2 linked regions of the Nothobranchius furzeri genome follow. The protein of the gene in region 1 interacts with the protein of each later gene in a pairwise test. Links are inferred from orthologs where the notes say so. Each region holds a gene or a part of one and is shown in the gene's direction. Other genes may lie near its edges.

The links. The genes of interacting proteins can lie anywhere in the genome.
Region 2: the proteins of segment polarity protein dishevelled homolog DVL-3 (region 1) and csnk1da interact in binary tests that used the Homo sapiens proteins (3 or more experiments, as listed by UniProt). The two-hybrid records come from large-scale screens. The link is inferred for Nothobranchius furzeri from reciprocal best matches to the Homo sapiens genes DVL3 and CSNK1D.

The regions. Positions count from the first base shown.
Region 1 is NC_091751.1:58,288,112-58,292,514, reverse strand, and holds the start of segment polarity protein dishevelled homolog DVL-3, read left to right. Parts: upstream 1-1,466; 5' UTR 1,467-1,687; coding exon 1,688-1,848; intron 1,849-3,047; coding exon 3,048-3,117; intron 3,118-4,403. UniProt on the Homo sapiens protein: Involved in the signal transduction pathway mediated by multiple Wnt genes.
Region 2 is NC_091758.1:11,453,745-11,458,013, forward strand, and holds the start of csnk1da (casein kinase I), read left to right. Parts: upstream 1-1,467; 5' UTR 1,468-1,698; coding exon 1,699-1,774; intron 1,775-4,269. UniProt on the Homo sapiens protein: Essential serine/threonine-protein kinase that regulates diverse cellular growth and survival processes including Wnt signaling, DNA repair and circadian rhythms. It can phosphorylate a large number of proteins.

The DNA.
Region 1 (4,403 bases):
TGCAGCCTCAGATCTTCATCAGTAAAGTTTTAAATTCAGAAATAACAGATTGTATTTACTCCATTTTGTACACTATCTCTCCAGTGGGAAAACTCCACCAGTTAATATTATTTACTTTTTGTCTCTGTGCTTTGTGTTGTCTGTAATGGCAAATCAAAGTTCATTCAATAAAATCAATTGTGGTTGCTTGCTGTACATATTAAAATGTGACCTCAGGAGTTTCTATAGCTGAGTTTTCAAACATTATTCCCGCAATATATTGAAAACGATTTTAGAATTCATTAAATTCAGTTTATTTTTCCAACGCCAAAACAAGAGTCATCTCAAGGCACGTTACAATCTGTGACTATTTGGTAAACAACTGCAAAAAAGCTGGAAATGAGTTTTTCTTTTACAATGTTTTGTATATTAGAAGGTCAGAGGTCAATCAAAGATGGTTGTGACCCAAGTGGTCTTACAGGTGCATTATGTATAAATGAGGTTAAAAATGACATCCTGTGGTAAAATTTGGTTACAGCAATCACTTTAAACAACTGGAGCTTTATTATTCCGGCCGCCGCCAAATTGCAATTGTTAACGCTGCAGTATTGGCTCACGAGAGACATAGCAACCCCACACTCACTGATGGTAAACAGTAGTTATGTCCCTCCAGTTGTCTTGAAAGGAGAAAAACTGACAATCCCCACAGCTGGATATTAAATATGTTTCAGTAGAACCTTTCAAAATGACAGAAATAAACTCTTGGGATTTTCTTACTGTAAAAATCTCACTATATTCTTACACACTGCACCTTTGAGTAGTTTGGCTTGAAAAAAATGCCTCAAATTTCGAGCATTTGTTACAAACGTGTGAATGTTTTACAACAGTGTTAATTACTGCCACCTAGGATTGACTGGTTAGTGTTTGTTGTTAGCTTCAAGGGCAACCTGCTGGCTTCATTATCACTTGCAAGTCGCTTTGGACAAAGCGTCTGCTAAATACATAAACAATATTCAGAGGTTGCATACTTACGTTATGATTTTGTATTTAAAAAATAGAAATGTTGTGACCATTTTAAATCATAGTCTACCCTTAAAGCTTAGATTGGATGAACTTCGTTTTTATTATACATAAACTGCAAGTGAAACAATATATTTTATTACCATTTATTTTGAGGCTGCCAGTTGATGTTCGCCTCATTTGCCCTGCAGTTTTCCTCCTCTCCTCTAGGTGGCGCTAATCTCAGATGGGGTTAGAGTCATCCTTTTCTGTTTTTTTTTTTTTACTGTTTCGTGTCCAACTAAAAAGTACCGAGGTTGGCAGGCAGTTACCGAGAAGTCAAAGAGCCCTCCTGATAATGTTTATCTTGCAGGATTTTAAAAGTTTTTTTTCTACTTTTTAAACATCTCTACGGCATACTAAATGTTTTACACAAACAGGATTAAACGCAATTCTTACTTCGGATAGTGTTGGGACGCTTTGTGGAAGGGAAAGGTTTTTTCTTTCAGCAGAGGAAAAACGGGCGTACAGTGAGCTGCCATAAAAAGCAGAATAAGGGTTTAGCAACGAGTTGGTGAGCCAGAAAGATTTGGGAGAACCACGGCCGAGCCGCCACCATCGCCACGGGGAGTTGGGGCCCGAGAGGGAGCCTGTCAGGCCCTCGGCTTGATGCACCCAGCCTGCCTTACCAAAACAACCACAGTCCGAGATGGGGGAAACCAAAATTATCTACCACCTCGACGACCAGGAGACGCCGTATCTTGTGAAGCTGCCTGTTCCGGCGGACAAAGTCACTCTCGCAGACTTCAAAAATGTTCTCAAGAAACCAAATTACAAATTCTTCTTCAAATCTATGGACGATGATTTTGGGTAAATGTTAAATGGATTGTACGTTCCCGGGATGGATCCGCATTAGCATTCTTCAGTTTTCAGAACGATTTTGCGAAAAAATGACTGCTAACGTGCAGGTTTCATCGTTCGGCTTTCTTTTATTGTTTTGTATTTTTACATTAGCTGGTTGTCGGTTATTAGCTAGCTTCTTGCACTGCCGTTTCTTTGTTAGCTGCTAGCAAGCAGCGGATCTGCTCAGCTTCAGCCCTCGTTTGTTTACACTGCCTGTGTAGCTTGCTTGTGACACTCGGTTTGCCTGACCAAGTTTGGTATTGGTGACGTGTGCACCAGTGTCGTGTATCGGTTGACTTTTTGAACCTCATGCAGATCACCCGAAGACAGCGATGGTTAAGACTAGTAAATATTATTAGTTACTGGTGGCAACATCAGGCTGTCAGCTGCGTAAGCTAAAGGGCTGCTGAACGGTCATTTGAGGCTGAGCAGCAGGCCGCTGCTGCTGTTGTTGTCTATTAGCCAGAGGAATGTGGAGCTGGACGCAGGAATGTCCCGTTCATCACTCTGGCAGCTTTATGAGAACGTCCTTTTGTGTTTAAACATGGCCCCAAAAGTAGACGGGTTGTGTCTCCAGATAGCTCTTTTCAAGAAGAACCAAACGTGGTATTTTACTTTCTTTAACCACTCATGCCAGCTTTTCTACATTGCCTCCGTCTGAATAAAATCTAGGGTGGGGCAATAAACTGGGACTATTTGCATTTAAGAGAAAACTAAAACTGCTGTTTATTTTGTAACAAATGGAAAAGTGCTGAAATTAGGCCGGTCAGGTGATCCTGTTTTCGAAGACAGATTCACCAAACATCGATATATTACCTCAGATATAGTGGTGGTATAATATTTATTGGGAGAGTACTTGATTACTGAATTCCCTAATGCTTAAACCAGGTTTCTTGTTTTAGTAGGGTTTTCTAGTCTTGGTTGCCTCAAACATGCAGATTTTTTTTTGTTTTTCCGCCTGCTCTGATATTTTAGTGTCCGTTTTTGCAGAACCCTGTCTGTTATTCCCAAACACACTTAGCATGGCCTTTCAGTGTGTAATAGTTGTGTACTTAGTGCACCTGTAAAACAGCAAATGTTGTCCCAGTTGTGTGATGGGCACTTCCAATACAGAATGCTTTTGTGTTGGCAGCAATTTGCTGACAGAAGCTTTGTTCTCATTGCAGGGTGGTAAAGGAAGAAATATCTGACGACAACGCTAGGCTGCCCTGTTTTAATGGACGTGTGGTGTCATGGGTATGTTCGGAATGCATCTGAAACTCCTTTTGTATGTTTACATTCTTATTATTTCCACAAAACTGCGTTAAGTTCTATTTGCATCATTAGATCATCAACCATGATGATGCATCATTTGTAGGGAGTTTCCTCACTCATCTAGGTAATAAAGTCCGTTTCGTGAATCGATCCACTGCAGCAGATGCAAACATTCCTTTAAATACATTGGGTTGATGACTCAAAAGCTTTTAGAAGTGATCCAACAAGCTAGTCACCGTGTGTTAAGCAATAATTCTCCCATTTCAATCATAAGAGACATCTATTAGTGGTTCGTATCTTCCATTCCTCTCTCCTTAAATTGGATTAAAAGCAAGTGAAATCACAGGATAGCAAGAAGCTGCTCGGTGAGATCGGGTCTCACTGTTGTTGCCTAACAAGAAGATTGAATCGCTCACGGACAGAATGAAGTTTAAAAGACTGTCTTTGTGTCTTGATGTGGAGGTTTGATGCATTTTTCCTAATTCTTTGTGGTGTGGTTATAATTAAAGGTTTTATGTAAGCATCATCATTATTACTGGCTGTTTGCATGTTAGTCTCACTCAAACCTGGTGTTTTCCCTTGTTATGATGATGTCTTCTAGGTGGTTAGTTGTTTGGGTTAAAAGACACTTCCTCTGTGGGGAATGAGTTTTTGTACCCCACCCAGATTGAAGACGTTTGCCACATGCAGTGATACGTGGCTTCTGCCACAGGTTTTTGTTTGTTTTCACTGCTCACCTGTTGTTTCAGTGCTCTGATCGGTGGCCCTCTGGGATCCTGTTGCCTGATAGGAACACATCAGCGCATCAGGCCAGACTCTAAATCTGGCAGCGCTGTGCTTTACTGTCACCTGAGCTGTTTTTGTTCATCTAATTGTTTACACCTCACCTGAACAACGAGTAAACTTATTAAGACTCAAATTCTAGAAATAATCGCTGTAGAGGTCAGAGATCTAGAAAAAGGATCTTTTCTGTCGAAATTTCTCGCTAAAATTTAACTGTTTGACTTTGTTGACAGAAAGACTTCCACACGGCATAACCTTTGTTGTTGTTTACATTCCCTAACCTCATCAGACTCACTTGCCAGCCGGATACATCACTCTTTGTTTTTCTGATTTTATTAAAAAAAAAAAACATAAAGGAAAAAAAATGAAATCTCTGTTGTCAAACCAAGTACGTAACGACCTGTAAAAGTGCAAATATTGTAAAAGTGAATTTATTTGTATCAGACATCTTTACAGTTGGTACAATCTGTTGGGCGTAATGGTGA
Region 2 (4,269 bases), on another chromosome or scaffold:
TAACTCGCTTACATATTTCATTTAACAAATATACACAATTTAAAATGTAAAAGGCTTTAAAATTGAAACTTATACATATAAAATTTATCTCCCACGTCACATGATGCAAATCTGTTCCATTTAACCATTTTCTTTGACCAAGGAAGGACATTGTCCTTGTAATATATTTAAAATTATATTATATTATATTATATTATATTATATTATATTATATTATATTATATTATATTATATTAAAACCAACAGGGAGTCAATTGGTGTGTTCCATTGGGGGACTCGAATATTCTAACTTCAGAGTAGGAACAATTAGCTGGAACGCTCCCAGAAGTCAGATGACCCTCTGAAAGTCTGGGAATTTGTTTTTCTAACTTCAAGGTTCAATCTAGCAGCTTCTCATAACAACAGTAGCTGTGGGTGAAGGAGTTTATTTTACAAGACACCCTTGTAAGGGTGCATCTAAAATCAGTGCTACACGTAGACTAGTGCTATATTTGACACCAAAAGTATGGTTCTGATAATGTCAAAGTCTATAATAGACATTCTATAGCTTAATCTAAATTAAGCACTACACTTTATAAACAGCTCTGCATAATAACTTTTAAGTTAGGAGAAAATAAAATAGTGTAAATAAGATACTATGTCATAATATAATTTCATAAGCAACCTAAGAGGAAAGCAAGCATCCATGTGTGGCATACAGACCCCCTTACGCTGTTTACAGATCATTTTTCGCTACTTTATGTTGGGTGAGATTGCATGGGGCATGTGCACACGACTGGTGTGCACCCATGTAGCCGTATCTCAGCTTAACTTGGAAAAACAACTTAAACTAAGCTGACCTGAGCCGTTTTTCCATTGCAGAATTTCTTGGACATTTTTTACGGTTTTAACTTTTTACATTCAACAACGTTCAACATTAATTCAGGCAAGATTTTCTGGTGTTATTTCACAACTATCTAGGTCTTGCCTAATTTTATTTGAGTTTTTACAAGTTCATGCGAGATGGACAGTGCATGATGGGCAGAGGCCAAGAGGACAAAGGAAACAATCTTTTGTTGTGACTGACCAGACACAATGATTTAGTGAAGATTGGTCTCTATCAGTAAACAAGAACAGAGGTAATGTTCTAGTAGCTATTAAAAATGTTTGAGTGTTGTATTTGCAATACAAAAAGCTTTATCGTTATTTTACGCTTTTCATATTGCTACATTTAATCTGCACAAACCGTACAAACAAAGGAACAAAACGTTACTAATAGGTGTATCTTCACTAACATGCTCTCTGGTGGATTCCTCTCCGCTCATCTTGCCAGGAAGTGACGTCAAACTCCTCCGATAAATTGCCTAGCAAGCTCTAAGCTAGTATCTGTAAGCCAGAGTACCGGAGCTGGTACCTAGCTTCGAAATCCAGCTTCATCCGTGTAAAATAAACGCGTACTGGTTTTTAACAATAGCAGGAGCAGAAAGAACAAGCGCTGACCTTTCCGACAAGCATCGTATTGTTTATAGATAATGTTAATAATATTGTGAAAAAGGAGGCGAAAAAGAAGCCCACAAATCCTGAGAAGACGAAATATATCGCTAAAACAGGATTTTGGATTCATATTTTTTTAATATTGTGTTGCGTTTGAACAAATTAGTTTTGTTACAAATATTGGAGCTAACGAGTGTAGTTGCTAGCCTGTCAGATTTTGTCAACATGGAGTTGAGAGTCGGAAACCGATACAGGCTGGGCAGAAAAATTGGAAGTGGATCATTTGGAGACATCTACTTGGGTATGTAATTTTCACGTTTCTTTCTGTTCACTTCGGCATTAAAAGAGGATAAAGGCCGGCTATTGTAAAGTTTAATCGAGTTTAATTGTGCTCGACTTTGGTAGCAGTTGTCTTTTGTGAGCGTCGTAATAATGAATACTGTGTAAAACAACGAAACTGACGCTAGCTGTGAAGCTAAAGGCTATGTTTAAGTTCCTGTTTCTTTTTTCCTTGTAAACGACGTTAGTCTGTGAGCAAAATGACCGACCAGACCGTGGTTTCAGAAACACTTGCATTTTTACTGGGTGAGAGTTTGTTATATTTACCCATTTACTGACGGTGAAGTATAAGGGAGTAGAATACATTAGGATATACTTTATTGATCCCACAGTGGGAAAATCCACTCGTTAAGGCAGCTCATACAGAGAAATACAGACTGTAGACAATTAATGCAGGTTGGCTGCTTTAAAGCAAAGATGAAGGTGATCCATTCATAGTTCACTACAACTAAAGCATAACCAGAAAAATAAAATGCCTACATTGAATCAAAGCATACTTACGTTTATTCTTGAGTTATATTCATAATAGTTCCAAAGAATAAATGTCCTTTATTTATATATAGCGCTTTCTACAATCCCCAAGGCATGACACACCCTTTCACACTGTTGATGATGAGCTACATAGCAGCCACAGCTGTCATGGGGACACTGATGGAAGCAAGGTGTCTTTTATAGGTTTTAACACCAGTTATGTGATGAAGCTTTTACTCCACAGATATAATTACTTATTAGGTGAAAGCAATTTGTGGATGAACGTGTGTCGATGACCAATACCTTTAAAAGTGACCGTTTTACTACTTGATACTGCTCATACACATGGTCAGAGATATATATACATTTCTACGTCCAAGTACAAGATGGTAAATACTAGGGTTGGGAATTGAAAACCGGTTCTTGTTGAGAACTGGTTCCCACAGTTGCAGTTCCTTGGAATCATTTGCCATTTTTGCATACGATTCCATTATCAATTCCATTTGGCGCAAATTACATCACCACTCATGTTGTGTAGCTTAAACGAGCTACGCGTTTAAGCCTGAGTCATGCTTCTGCGTCAGCTCCACAAGGGACAGACATGCACGGATTGATAGAAGCGTTTTACTGTCATACTTCCCCGTTTGCCCAAGGGGTGTTGCAAAGCAATTCTCTGCCAGGACAACATCGAGTTCTATTTGTTCCGGGAGCCACTTCTGGGACACGTCAATTCCCGCAGTTCACATAGTGCGAGACAGGAAACCACACGGTTTCAGTGTAAAATACCCGGTTATTTTCAAAATAAAATGCAACGTTACAATGTTATATATAACTTACGTCAGTAAGTGTGACCGAACAGCTTTGTTTACCACCAGTTTCTTTCGAGGAGTGCAACGGTGCGATTCTTCGCAGGGGTTGTGATCTCTCGATGAGGAAGGTGTCGGAAGTCTTGAGGGATTTTAGAATCTCGCGGGTACAACGAGGCACAGCGAGGAAGCCGTGCCGCGACCAAGACTCTCCCGGTGTGAAAAGGACCGCTTTAAAGTTCGCGAGTGAGCCGCTCCGCTGCTGTTCCGTTCCGCTGATACTTGCAGTGTGAAACCGGAGTCAGGCTTTACTGGGAAGGAAGAATGGCCTCTAAGTGGCACAAACGCTCAAAAGTTTGGGTATCCTTTAAGAGAAAGGACAACAACAGGGAAACTTGAATTACTTGCAGAATGTTTATTTAATCAATGGAGAATACACTACAAACATGCAATAGCATTTACGTACAAAATATGCGAACACTTAAAGTGAATGTCTTTGTTTTGACCAGCTCCAGAGACTAGTGAATTTCAATGCAGCAGCAGTGGTAATGTTTTCACGTCGTCTTCTGTAGGGCTGCCACAAATGACTAAATAGTCGACTAATCATCAGTTTTGTTGATGATTAGTCCAGGATGCTCTAATATACCCATCATTAGCTTCTAGTTTGAAGTAGGGAAATTATATGCAATTAAATTGTGATGTGACAAAAAAGATTTTCTAATCGCAAAGGCTGCGATTTGACTGGCAGAGAGTGGTTAGCACATTGCTAATATACATTGAAAAACCCTACGGGATGCTATTGATAATATCACTGATTACATTCTTACAAATTATAATTTAGGAACATGCTAAATGATTACTTTTGGAGTCTAATAAAAAGCAAAAACTGCCATCAATCAAAAAAGTACAGACAGATATTTTAATAAATCCAGAAAACACAAGAGACTTTAACTCCACTGAGGTTTGGCTAGCAGCTATGGACGCAACTGAACTACAGAAGCTCTGCATAGACAAGACGTCAAAAACATTAAACACTAAAGAGTAGGGCTGTTCAATTATGGCAAAAATGATAATCACGATTATTGTGACTGAACTTGAGGTCTCGATTATTTAATGTTGATTGATTTTATTTGTTATTTGTTCATAAAATTGCTCAGGGCACAATCGGGACAAAGAAGAA